2 linked regions of the Saccharomyces cerevisiae S288C genome follow. Each later gene encodes a partner of the first gene's protein in a complex. Each region holds a gene or a part of one and is shown on either strand. Other genes may lie near its edges. The genes, in order: TOF2 and CTF4. A codon is read from its position in the direction of its gene.

The links.
Region 2: the proteins of TOF2 (region 1) and CTF4 are in contact, whole or in part, in a crystal structure (PDB 5HOI), measured with the Saccharomyces cerevisiae proteins. Residues at the interface, in NP_012935.3 of Saccharomyces cerevisiae: Ile504 (codon at 1,321), Gln505 (codon at 1,318), Thr507 (codon at 1,312), Ile508 (codon at 1,309), Arg509 (codon at 1,306), Leu511 (codon at 1,300), Asn512 (codon at 1,297), Arg513 (codon at 1,294); in NP_015461.1 of Saccharomyces cerevisiae: Ile728 (codon at 4,426), Met731 (codon at 4,435), Ser732 (codon at 4,438), Lys735 (codon at 4,447), Thr737 (codon at 4,453), Ile740 (codon at 4,462), Leu756 (codon at 4,510), Lys758 (codon at 4,516), Ser772 (codon at 4,558), Glu773 (codon at 4,561), Met774 (codon at 4,564), Glu814 (codon at 4,684).

What each region holds. Positions count from the first base shown.
Region 1 is NC_001143.9:458,410-463,213, forward strand, and holds TOF2 (Tof2p), read right to left. Parts: upstream 2,831-4,804; coding exon 515-2,830; downstream 1-514. Other genes in the region: chromatin-associated RNAPIII regulator FPT1, read right to left, coding at 3,226-4,287.
Region 2 is NC_001148.4:796,990-802,545, forward strand, and holds CTF4 (chromatin-binding protein CTF4), read left to right. Parts: upstream 1-2,244; coding exon 2,245-5,028; downstream 5,029-5,556. Other genes in the region: transcription factor SPN1, read right to left, coding at 1-221; TOM5 (Tom5p), read left to right, coding at 568-720; MSS18 (Mss18p), read left to right, coding at 1,062-1,868; ribosomal RNA-processing protein RRP9, read left to right, coding at 5,370-5,556. UniProt on the Saccharomyces cerevisiae protein: Accessory factor for DNA replication. It plays a role in accurately duplicating the genome in vivo.

The sequences.
Region 1 (4,804 bases):
ATGATAATATATTGATAATATAACTATTAGTTGATAGACGATAGTGGATTTTTATTCCAACACATATAAAGTTTAGAAAGATGACATAAAGATTAACTTAATACATGACTGGGTATACTTGAATTCTAAAATTTTCAACAAATAAGTGGTTGTTTGGCCGAGCGGTCTAAGGCGCCTGATTCAAGAAATATCTTGACCGCAGTTAACTGTGGGAATACTCAGGTATCGTAAGATGCAAGAGTTCGAATCTCTTAGCAACCATATTTTATATTTTTTTATATTGTGTTCAACAATGAACAATAATGACGAATAATCCAGAATGATATAAACGTCCATGAATAAAAGTCCGTTATAATCATATATAATTGATGCATACCGTACGCTATTAGTTCTCTTTTGTTGGTTGCTTTTGAAGATTTAATTATGATATCATTAACCAGTCTAAAAAATTACTACAATTCGCCAAGAATATTTAAGATATGGTTGAGAGATCCCAACATAATTACTGACAGACTTACTGGTCGTCTTCATCACTTTCAACATATTTAGGTGTTTGGTACTTCTTTGTATTTATTTCATTGTCATCCACATCCAGCATTGGTTTTCCATTAGAATTTCCAGCTGGTCCATGACTTGTTTTGAAATTAATTTTTTTAACTTGCACGTTCCTCGAATCAGAATCATCATCCGAATCATCTGAGGAAGAGCTATCCAATGAAGATTCAAGTGACATGGAAGAAGAAGAAGAAGGTGAAGAATGCGACCTGGTAACCTTGACTTTCTTGAGCTGCGGTGTTCTTTCTAAACTGGACGGTATCGCTTGGCCATTTTTTCTTTTTCCAGGAGTTGAATTCATAACTGGCAACTTGGGTGAGACTTGTTCTTGTTCCTGAGCCGTACTATTAGAAGTTGCCTCCACTTTGTCTTTACTATTATCAACAGGATCTCTCATTAATTTGACTACTTTTATGGTCGAAGCTGCATTTGGCGGTTTCCCAGCATTGGCAAAAATATCTTTTAGGGATCTATTCCCCATATTTCTTTTTCTTTTAAACTCTATAACTTTCGATCCAACATCATCAGTTTTTCGTTTCACTTTTATTTTACCAAATTTTGCGAATTTCTCACCGGAAATAATGGTATTGGGATCATCAAAGTGCTTTGTTTCCAGACTTACCCCTTTTGAAGTTATGGATTTGGGTTTATCTTTCTTCATTATTCCAAATTTTCCGTAATATGGTTCCGTAATACTATTCCTTTTTTGGACCTTAGTTTCCCCAGTTGGCTTGAACCTATTTAGTTTCCGAATAGTTTCTTGTATTTTTACGTCTTTTGCATGCGAAGTAGATGACGCAGCACCCAATGATTTATCAGGAAACTCCTTCTCAACAAGTCGAAATAGGGCTTCCTTACCTTGACTTTGATGTAACCGATTATTCAATTCTTTTTCAGGAAAAAAGGGAGGAGAAACAACATTTTTGGTACTTTGAGTACTTTGTACTGCATTTTCAATATCACTGTTGAATGAAACGCTATCCAAGTCGGAATTGATATCCCGAAATCCCATCGATGCCTTCTTAGAATTGTTGATAAACGAATCCGCACGATCATTATCGGTTTCATTAAAATCCTCTTCATCTGAAAATGCTTCTATCCTTCTACAATTCTCACCTATATCTTTGTCGTTCAATGGCAGATCATCACCTTTTTTGTTTTGAACTTTAATTTCTAAGGAACTCTTCCTGGGACTATGAGCACCACTAGAGGGGTTAGAATATTGTATATGCATATCAGAATTAGTATGAGAAGTAGTGCTCAATTGGAAGTCGGTATCAATCGAATCAAACGAAATTTGAGGGGAGTTTTCATCTGCGGGTTCATAATCAGCATCTTCTGACGAATTGCGTAAAAGATCTAAATCCTTTGATTCGGCCCTTTTAGCGCCATCATTTTTCTGTTGTTGAGTGGATGAAGGTATATTTTCTTTATTGTTATCACTCCCTTGCGTTACAACTCCCTCTTTAGCACGAGCGTGATCTTTTACGTCTTTGTGTACATTTGATGCCACTACTGTGGAAGTAAGTGGCATGGGACACTTTTCTTTATTCAGTGCATCATACTTGCTTGCAAGCGGTAGAATTTCGTTCATTAGCGGCGTTGATACTCTTGATTTATTAATGAAGTTATTCTTGAGCGAGCTTTTAGCTATTAGATGCATTGTATCTTTATTTGATATAGAAGATAAGTCTTCCTTAGAGATCTTTTTTCTCTTTTCAGTAACGATGGATTTTGTGGATGGCTTGTTGTCCTGCCGTCTCCGCTGTCTTGCCAATTGTAAAAGTGAAATATGTTGATTTCTACTCCAGTCTAATTCATCTTTTAAAATTACCAAAACCACACCATCATTTTCAAATACGTCTTTTATTATAAATTCAGAGTCCAAATCACAACCATGCCTATCTTGTAGAGATACGATTTCAATGGATTCTTTGAAATTTGGATAAAGTCTATCAAATTTAGTTAAAATTTCATTAGATAGTTGTAAAAGGGTATTGTCACCGTCCGTAAAATGTAAAAACTTTTTACAATTCGGGAGGTAGTTAATGAAATCACTACTACGATTCGACTGAATAGAATTTTGCGAAGACGGGCTCGTAGGAGAGGGGTCGCTACAGTTATTGATACTGTTGTTGTGCGTAATTATATCTTCATTATACTGGACCATAGGAGACACTGATTGTGGAGTATTCAAGCGTGCTTCGAGAAATGTGATAATATCTTGAGCACTTGGCGGCACCAGTACAATCTGTAACCTCCACATTTTTATCATTTACTTATTTGAACCAAACACCAAGGAGGGCAAAGGATATTATAAGAAATGTGGCAAAAGATTGGCGTATTTATTGAATGCTTGTATAATTGGGTAGCTAACCAAAAATGACTTGTTTTCCTTCTTCAGCGAAACTAATAAATAAACAAACAAACAAATTAGGACCATCTTGCATTTGAGATCTGAAGAATATGAAAAAAATTATATAACAGTATCGTATAATGCGACTTTTTTTCGTGATGCCTATGTAACAATAGTAGAGAAAAAACAGGTCACATTTCTATAAATGATTGAATAATTGGTTCTATATACGTACATACTTTTGGAGTTTTACTTTTATTCTCTTGATTTAATGGATGTAGATGCTATAAAAAGACATGTTTTCCCGGAAATAGTTAAAATGATATTTTGCCATTTTTATGCGGATGATGGCTATTAGGAGGGTTTTTAGTGATTTTTTTTTTTTCCACAAGCTGAAATTTTCGAGGTCTTTGTCTCGACCAGGCTCTCAAGTCAAAAGTTTCATAGTCTTCGGCCATCAATTTAAAATAGCTTTCAAAATTTGACTTGATCAGATCGTTTGTAGCACTTGAATGCATGAAATTCACGTTTGGTTTAGACTCAGGACCTTTATAGATGTAGTCTGTCGAGACAGCCTCATCATCGGTACTCAAAGATGAAGGAGACAGCGAATTTACCGGAGAAAAATGTCTTGATTCGCTTTCCAGAGATGCGGAAGGCTCATTGTTTGAGCACGATGCCAAACTATTTTCCTTAAGATTTTGTTCCTGGATGTTATACTTTTTCTTCATCGAGTTATGATAATTTTTTAAAGTTGTTGTCAAAAGTCGCTTATTCGATAAAACTTTGGTCTTTATGATAGCAATAGAAACAATATTTTTGAAGTTATCGAAAACCTCCATGTTGAACTGTTCCTGTTTTTTCTTTTGTTTGGCAATGCTTTGACATATTTTATCATATTGAGACCAAAATTGTTCAACGTTTAGTTTTGAGAGATCTCTATTCATTTTTTCTAGACAATTTTGTAACCAGGCCCGTTTATCATAATTTTTAAATCGTTGATCATTCTGGAAAACCTCCTTCCAGGAAGTGTTCTTAACCACGTTAGCGTCGTTATCCACGTACAACAAGGCAGACAACTTATTTAATTGCCAACGACCATCAGATTTCCAAATGAAAAAGGTGTCACTTATTTCTTCATATTCGAGAATGTAGAAATGGGGAATACAATTCGGCTTCAAATATGCGGGTGCACAATCTATCTTCAAATTTTCTGTTATGGTCTCAGAAGTTTGCAACTCAATCCCGTACAATTCTTGAATAGAATGCACGAACTTGATAACCTGAGTTAAAGTGAGACCTTCCTTAATACAGGTCAATTTAACACGTGGTTGTTCTTCACCAGCGTATAAGTAAACGGTTTCTAACTTGGACATGGTTTCCTTTCTTTGTACTTGGTATTTCTTCTTCTTTTTCTAGCTGTCTGTATGAGTACTTAACTGTAACAGAATAGTAATGGGTTCAGGCTAAATCTCTTTAATTATGGCACCTTTATGCTGATATAAATCCCTATACATTTCTTAGGGGTGTGTTTTGGTTTTTGGTCTCATAGTTTTGACAGCACGTTGGAACGCCACTCATGCCTTAAAAGGCCGGGTAATGATTTATAGTCCAATTATATCACAGCACTACAAGACGTCAAAAATTCACGGCGGCAAAAGGTCTGTAACTACCTAAACATTAAAAGCCTTTGAGCTATAAATCATTATGTACACTGAGAATGCCACATGCTAAAACAAGGAAGTTTTCAGCGAAGTAGCACATTAACTGACCACTCAATAGAAAGAAAACAGAAAGTGGAATGGATGGCCACTTTCATGTTATCAGTGGTGATTACTTGATGACAAAATAACGCTATTCGAGAGCGAGCTATAATTCTTGACCAACTGGCTC
Region 2 (5,556 bases), on another chromosome or scaffold:
ACGTTACTATTTTCGTCTATTGCGGCTTCCTCGTTCTTTTCTCCGTTATCTGGGTCTTTAGTATCATTGGAGGTACCTTTTGAAGTTTCTTGGGGTTCCATACTTTGATTTTGTTTTGTATTTTCATTCTCAGCGTTTATAGTTGACTTTTGGGAGGAAGCTGTCCCATCTTCTGGTGTCGCTTCCACCACTTTGGGTTGTTCTTGATCGGCTGTACTCATTGCTAATTGATATGTTTTTGCCTTTTATTACTAAAAGTTCCTCTATATATACTTCAGAGGACAATAAACTCCCTTGATATGGCCTGCATATACTTTACAAGTGCTATCAAACAAAGATGCTGGGCAATGAAGCTGACAGTTAACTCTTCCAAAACTTCCCTTCAAAGAAATTGTGAGAGAAAAAAACCTTCTTGTTACCCTTCTTTGGAAGAATACCGCACATCATAAAATCAAGAAATGAATTCGAAAGTTTACTCTTTCTTTCTAGAGGCGTTACACCAATATTAGCGAATTGCAGTTTCCCACAAAAGGCGTCCATTGGCATCAAATAACTAGATAGTATAAAATGTTTGGTCTACCTCAACAGGAAGTCTCCGAAGAGGAGAAAAGAGCTCATCAAGAACAAACTGAGAAAACCTTGAAACAGGCCGCTTATGTGGCTGCGTTTCTTTGGGTTTCCCCAATGATCTGGCATTTGGTGAAAAAGCAATGGAAATAATTCCCCACTGAAGAAAAAAGATTGCATCTATGAATGACACTAAAATATGTTTCTCTTTTTGTATTTGCTTTTGATTAAATAATGGTCAATTTGCGCCCCCCACCTTATATAGTTTAGAGAAAGACGTGTAAATATTTTTTAAAAAATTGATACTGCTCTAATGAGCCTAAATCTCCTTTCTTCGCTTGTATATATGCGTATTCTGTATGTTTGTCCAGGCAGATTTTTCGGCTTTTTTTACCAGCTTTTATTATTAAAATGTGATAACCTTAATTGAAGGTTGCGATACAAAATAATCCTTTATTACGCATAACCAAGGAAAAGAGAAAATCAGTGCACATATGGGTTTACCTGAAGTTAACTTTCTTCGAAAAAACTGCATACTTGTGGAGTTAAAATTATTCTATCAAACAGTATACCCACCGAAGGAACTATATTGGAATAACCGAATAACTGCAGAATTGAGTACATTCTCCAATATTAAGTATGCAAGGCCGACTTTCGCAGTAAATAATGGCACATTTCAGAGAACAAGACCGAAATTAGACTTGGTACTGGCTTCATCTGATATTCGTAAGCTGGCTACGGTTTTATTTAATTTAAAAGCTCTCATAATGAATACGAAGGGTGAGGAACCCACTCTAACCACGATGACTAGTGTCCAAACGAACGAAGAGAAAAATGATAACCTGGAACAGAAATATTCAAGTCTGCTAGATAGATGGAATGGGAAAGTAGAAGTGCATGATTCTCCTTTCCTTCAACTCCAACGGGACAGCAACCTTTTGTTTGCTGAGAGGCCGGTACGTTACGTTAGCACTACAGAAGGTGAAGGCGTGGACATATCTAGTGAAGAGTTTTTCAGGTTAGAGGAAGAACAGTGCCGAAGGAATTATGATGTTTTGGTCGATGAACATTCTACACCATCAGTCGGGATGAAAGACGGCCAATACGGACCAAATATAATTCACTTTGAACCGTCGCTGTACCACACATATTCTTCTCTACCAATGAGTATGAAATTTTGGTTAAATGGTCTAGAAGACGACGAAACGACGATGATGAACATTGATGAGAAGTCAGCCGAAAATCTGGATATATTATTACATGGTTTCAAAGGATTTTCGAACAAGCGCGTTAAAGGATGAATTAATCATCCTCTTCATGTACTACTTATGTCCAATTTGAGTGTAAAATCACAGGTACAAGGCTTATCCATATTCGTATATATCTTCATAATGTTTCATAATTGCTTCAGAAAATTATTCAAAACGTCTTGTGATATTCATTAGGTGAAATCGTAGTTTGCCTGATACTTGAAAGAATCTCACCTGGAGAATGGGTGTTTTCACTAAGATTCGTTAATTTCCACTAATGATTAATTGTTAACTGTTTAACGCGACGCGTAATAAAGTTTCCTGAATACGCCAACATATGGGAACATATAGATTAAATTAATAAGAAAGCTTGGGAAAAATAATTGAGAAGGGCAAGAAGTGACGTAAATATACTAGACGTACTATTATGGTTTCAGTTATAGACAAGCTTGTTTTTGACTTTGGTGGGAAAACTCTGGTCTCTCTCGCACCAGATAATAATACTTTGTGTGTAGCCAATAAAAATGGCTTAACCAAGATTCTGAAGACAAATAACCCAGAAGAAGAGCCAGAGACTTTAGATTCTTCCAAATTGGTCTCGTCTATAAAATGCTATTCAAACTCGCACTTTCTGATGACTACAATGCAAGGTGATGCTCTTAGGTATAACATCGATTCTAGTCAAGAAGAATTATTGGCTAGATTTGCTTTACCCCTACGTGACTGCTGTGTTATTCATTCAGGTAAAATGGCCGTATTTGGAGGAGACGACTTAGAACTAATCCTTTTGGAATTGGACGATGAAACACACAAAAAACATGCCATTAAAATCGATGAACAAGTTTCTCAAATTTCTTACAATTCACAGATGAATATTTTAGCAGTTTCAATGATAAATGGTAAGGTACAAATTTTTTCTCTGACATCTACTATTCCAAACAAAGTTCATGAGTTAAATGATTACATAGTGGCCAATTCATATGATGATACACACAGAGATAAGATACTCTCGAATATGATGGATGATATAGATAAAGACAATGATAATGACCTGAGTGAAACGGCTGATCCAGATGAGAACAATGTAGCTGATCCAGAATTCTGTGCTGCTAATAGAATTTGCACGAGAGTGGCTTGGCATCCGAAGGGTCTGCATTTTGCGCTACCATGTGCAGATGATACAGTAAAAATATTCTCTATAAAGGGATATTCCCTACAAAAGACGTTGTCCACAAATCTCTCATCAACAAAGGCTCATTTCATTGATTTGCAATTTGACCCGTTACGTGGAACTTACATTGCGGCAGTAGATTTAAATAATAAGTTAACGGTATGGAATTGGGAAACTTCCGAGATCCACTACACCAGGGAATTCAAAAGAAAAATTACTAATATTGCCTGGAAAATCCAAGCGGACTCAAAAACTCTAGACCTTGTTTTAGGTACCTGGTCCGGTAGTATAGCCATTGTCCAAAATTTGGCAGAGTCCGTAGTATCTAATATACCTGACCAATCTGTTGCTGAATCTTCAACTAAACATGGGCTTTTTGTAGACTCCGAATCTGACTTGGAAAACTTAGAGGGAAATGATGATATAAACAAAAGCGATAAGCTATTTTCAGATATTACTCAAGAAGCGAATGCGGAAGATGTGTTCACTCAAACACACGACGGCCCCAGTGGATTAAGTGAAAAGAGAAAATACAACTTCGAAGATGAAGAAGACTTTATTGATGATGACGATGGTGCTGGTTATATTAGTGGCAAAAAACCACATAATGAACATTCTTATTCGAGAGTACACAAGACTCATTCGTTTCCAATCAGTTTGGCAAACACAGGAAAATTTCGTTATATGCCTTTTTCTCCAGCGGGAACACCTTTTGGCTTTACTGACAGGCGTTATTTGACAATGAATGAAGTGGGCTACGTATCTACTGTCAAGAATAGTGAGCAATACAGCATAACTGTCTCTTTTTTTGATGTTGGACGTTTTAGAGAATACCATTTCGAGGACTTATTTGGCTACGATTTATGCTTCCTAAATGAAAAAGGCACTTTATTTGGCCAATCCAAAACTGGGCAGATACAATATAGGCCACACGATAGCATACATTCAAACTGGACCAAGATTATTCCTTTGCAAGCTGGTGAGAGAATAACAAGTGTGGCAGCCACCCCGGTTCGCGTTATTGTTGGTACATCATTAGGCTATTTCAGAAGTTTCAATCAATTCGGGGTTCCATTTGCTGTTGAAAAGACATCCCCAATTGTAGCGCTTACTGCTCAGAATTATAGGGTTTTTTCAGTACATTATTCGCAGTTTCATGGCCTTTCATACTCTTTATCTGAATTGGGTACTTCTAGTAAAAGGTACTATAAAAGAGAGTGTCCACTTCCAATGAGTTTACCAAACATTAATTCTGATATGAAAAAAGACGCAAATCTTGACTACTACAATTTTAATCCGATGGGCATCAAAAGTTTGTTCTTTTCAAGCTACGGAGATCCATGCATTTTTGGGTCCGACAACACGCTTCTATTGTTATCAAAGTGGAGATCACCAGAAGAAAGTAAATGGCTCCCTATTCTAGATAGCAACATGGAAATATGGAAGATGTCAGGAGGGAAGGAAACGACAGATATACATGTCTGGCCCTTGGCTTTGGCGTATGACACATTGAATTGTATCTTAGTTAAGGGCAAGCATATATGGCCCGAGTTTCCCCTTCCGTTGCCATCCGAAATGGAGATTAGAATGCCAGTATTTGTTAAGAGTAAATTACTAGAGGAAAACAAAGCTATATTAAATAAAAAGAACGAAATTGGAGCTGACACCGAAGCGGAAGAAGGGGAAGAAGACAAAGAAATACAGATTCCTGTTTCTATGGCGGCGGAAGAAGAGTATCTGCGCAGCAAGGTTTTGTCAGAGCTGTTGACAGATACACTCGAAAATGACGGTGAAATGTACGGCAACGAAAATGAGGTATTGGCAGCATTGAACGGTGCATATGATAAGGCTTTGTTACGTTTATTTGCGTCTGCATGCTCAGACCAAAATGTTGAAAAGGCTCTTTCGCTTGCTCATGAATTAAAACAAGATAGAGCACTTACTGCAGCCGTTAAGATATCAGAAAGAGCTGAGCTGCCCTCTCTCGTTAAAAAAATTAATAATATAAGGGAAGCTAGATATGAACAGCAATTGAAATAAAAAAATGTAAAATATATATACGCAAGAGACAATTATTTGATACCTGTTCATTTGTTCAAATCATCGTTCAAAATGCTCCCACATTAACATATATTTCTTTGAATGCGACGATAATAAAGAGTTACGTTGAACATGATCTGAGCTGGAAGCGTCCTTGCGAATTTTCGCGAAAGGAAAAAGTGAAAAAATATGAAAAAAAAAAAAAGAGATGACATTTTATAGATGAGCTTTGATTAAACAGTGTAACACCTGGTCCTGTACCGTAAATATTCAAATAAGCATCAATTCAAAGTTCTTTATTTCTTCTTTAGCATTTCAAAATTATAGAAAATCTAGAAAAGATGTCAGATGTTACCCAACAGAAAAAGAGGAAAAGATCCAAAGGAGAAGTTAATCCATCAAAACCCACAGTAGACGAAGAAATCACAGATCCATCCTCAAACGAAGATGAACAACTAGAAGTTTCGGATGAAGAAGACGCATTGGAATCTGAAGAAGAATTCGAGGGTGAAAATCCAGCCGATAAAA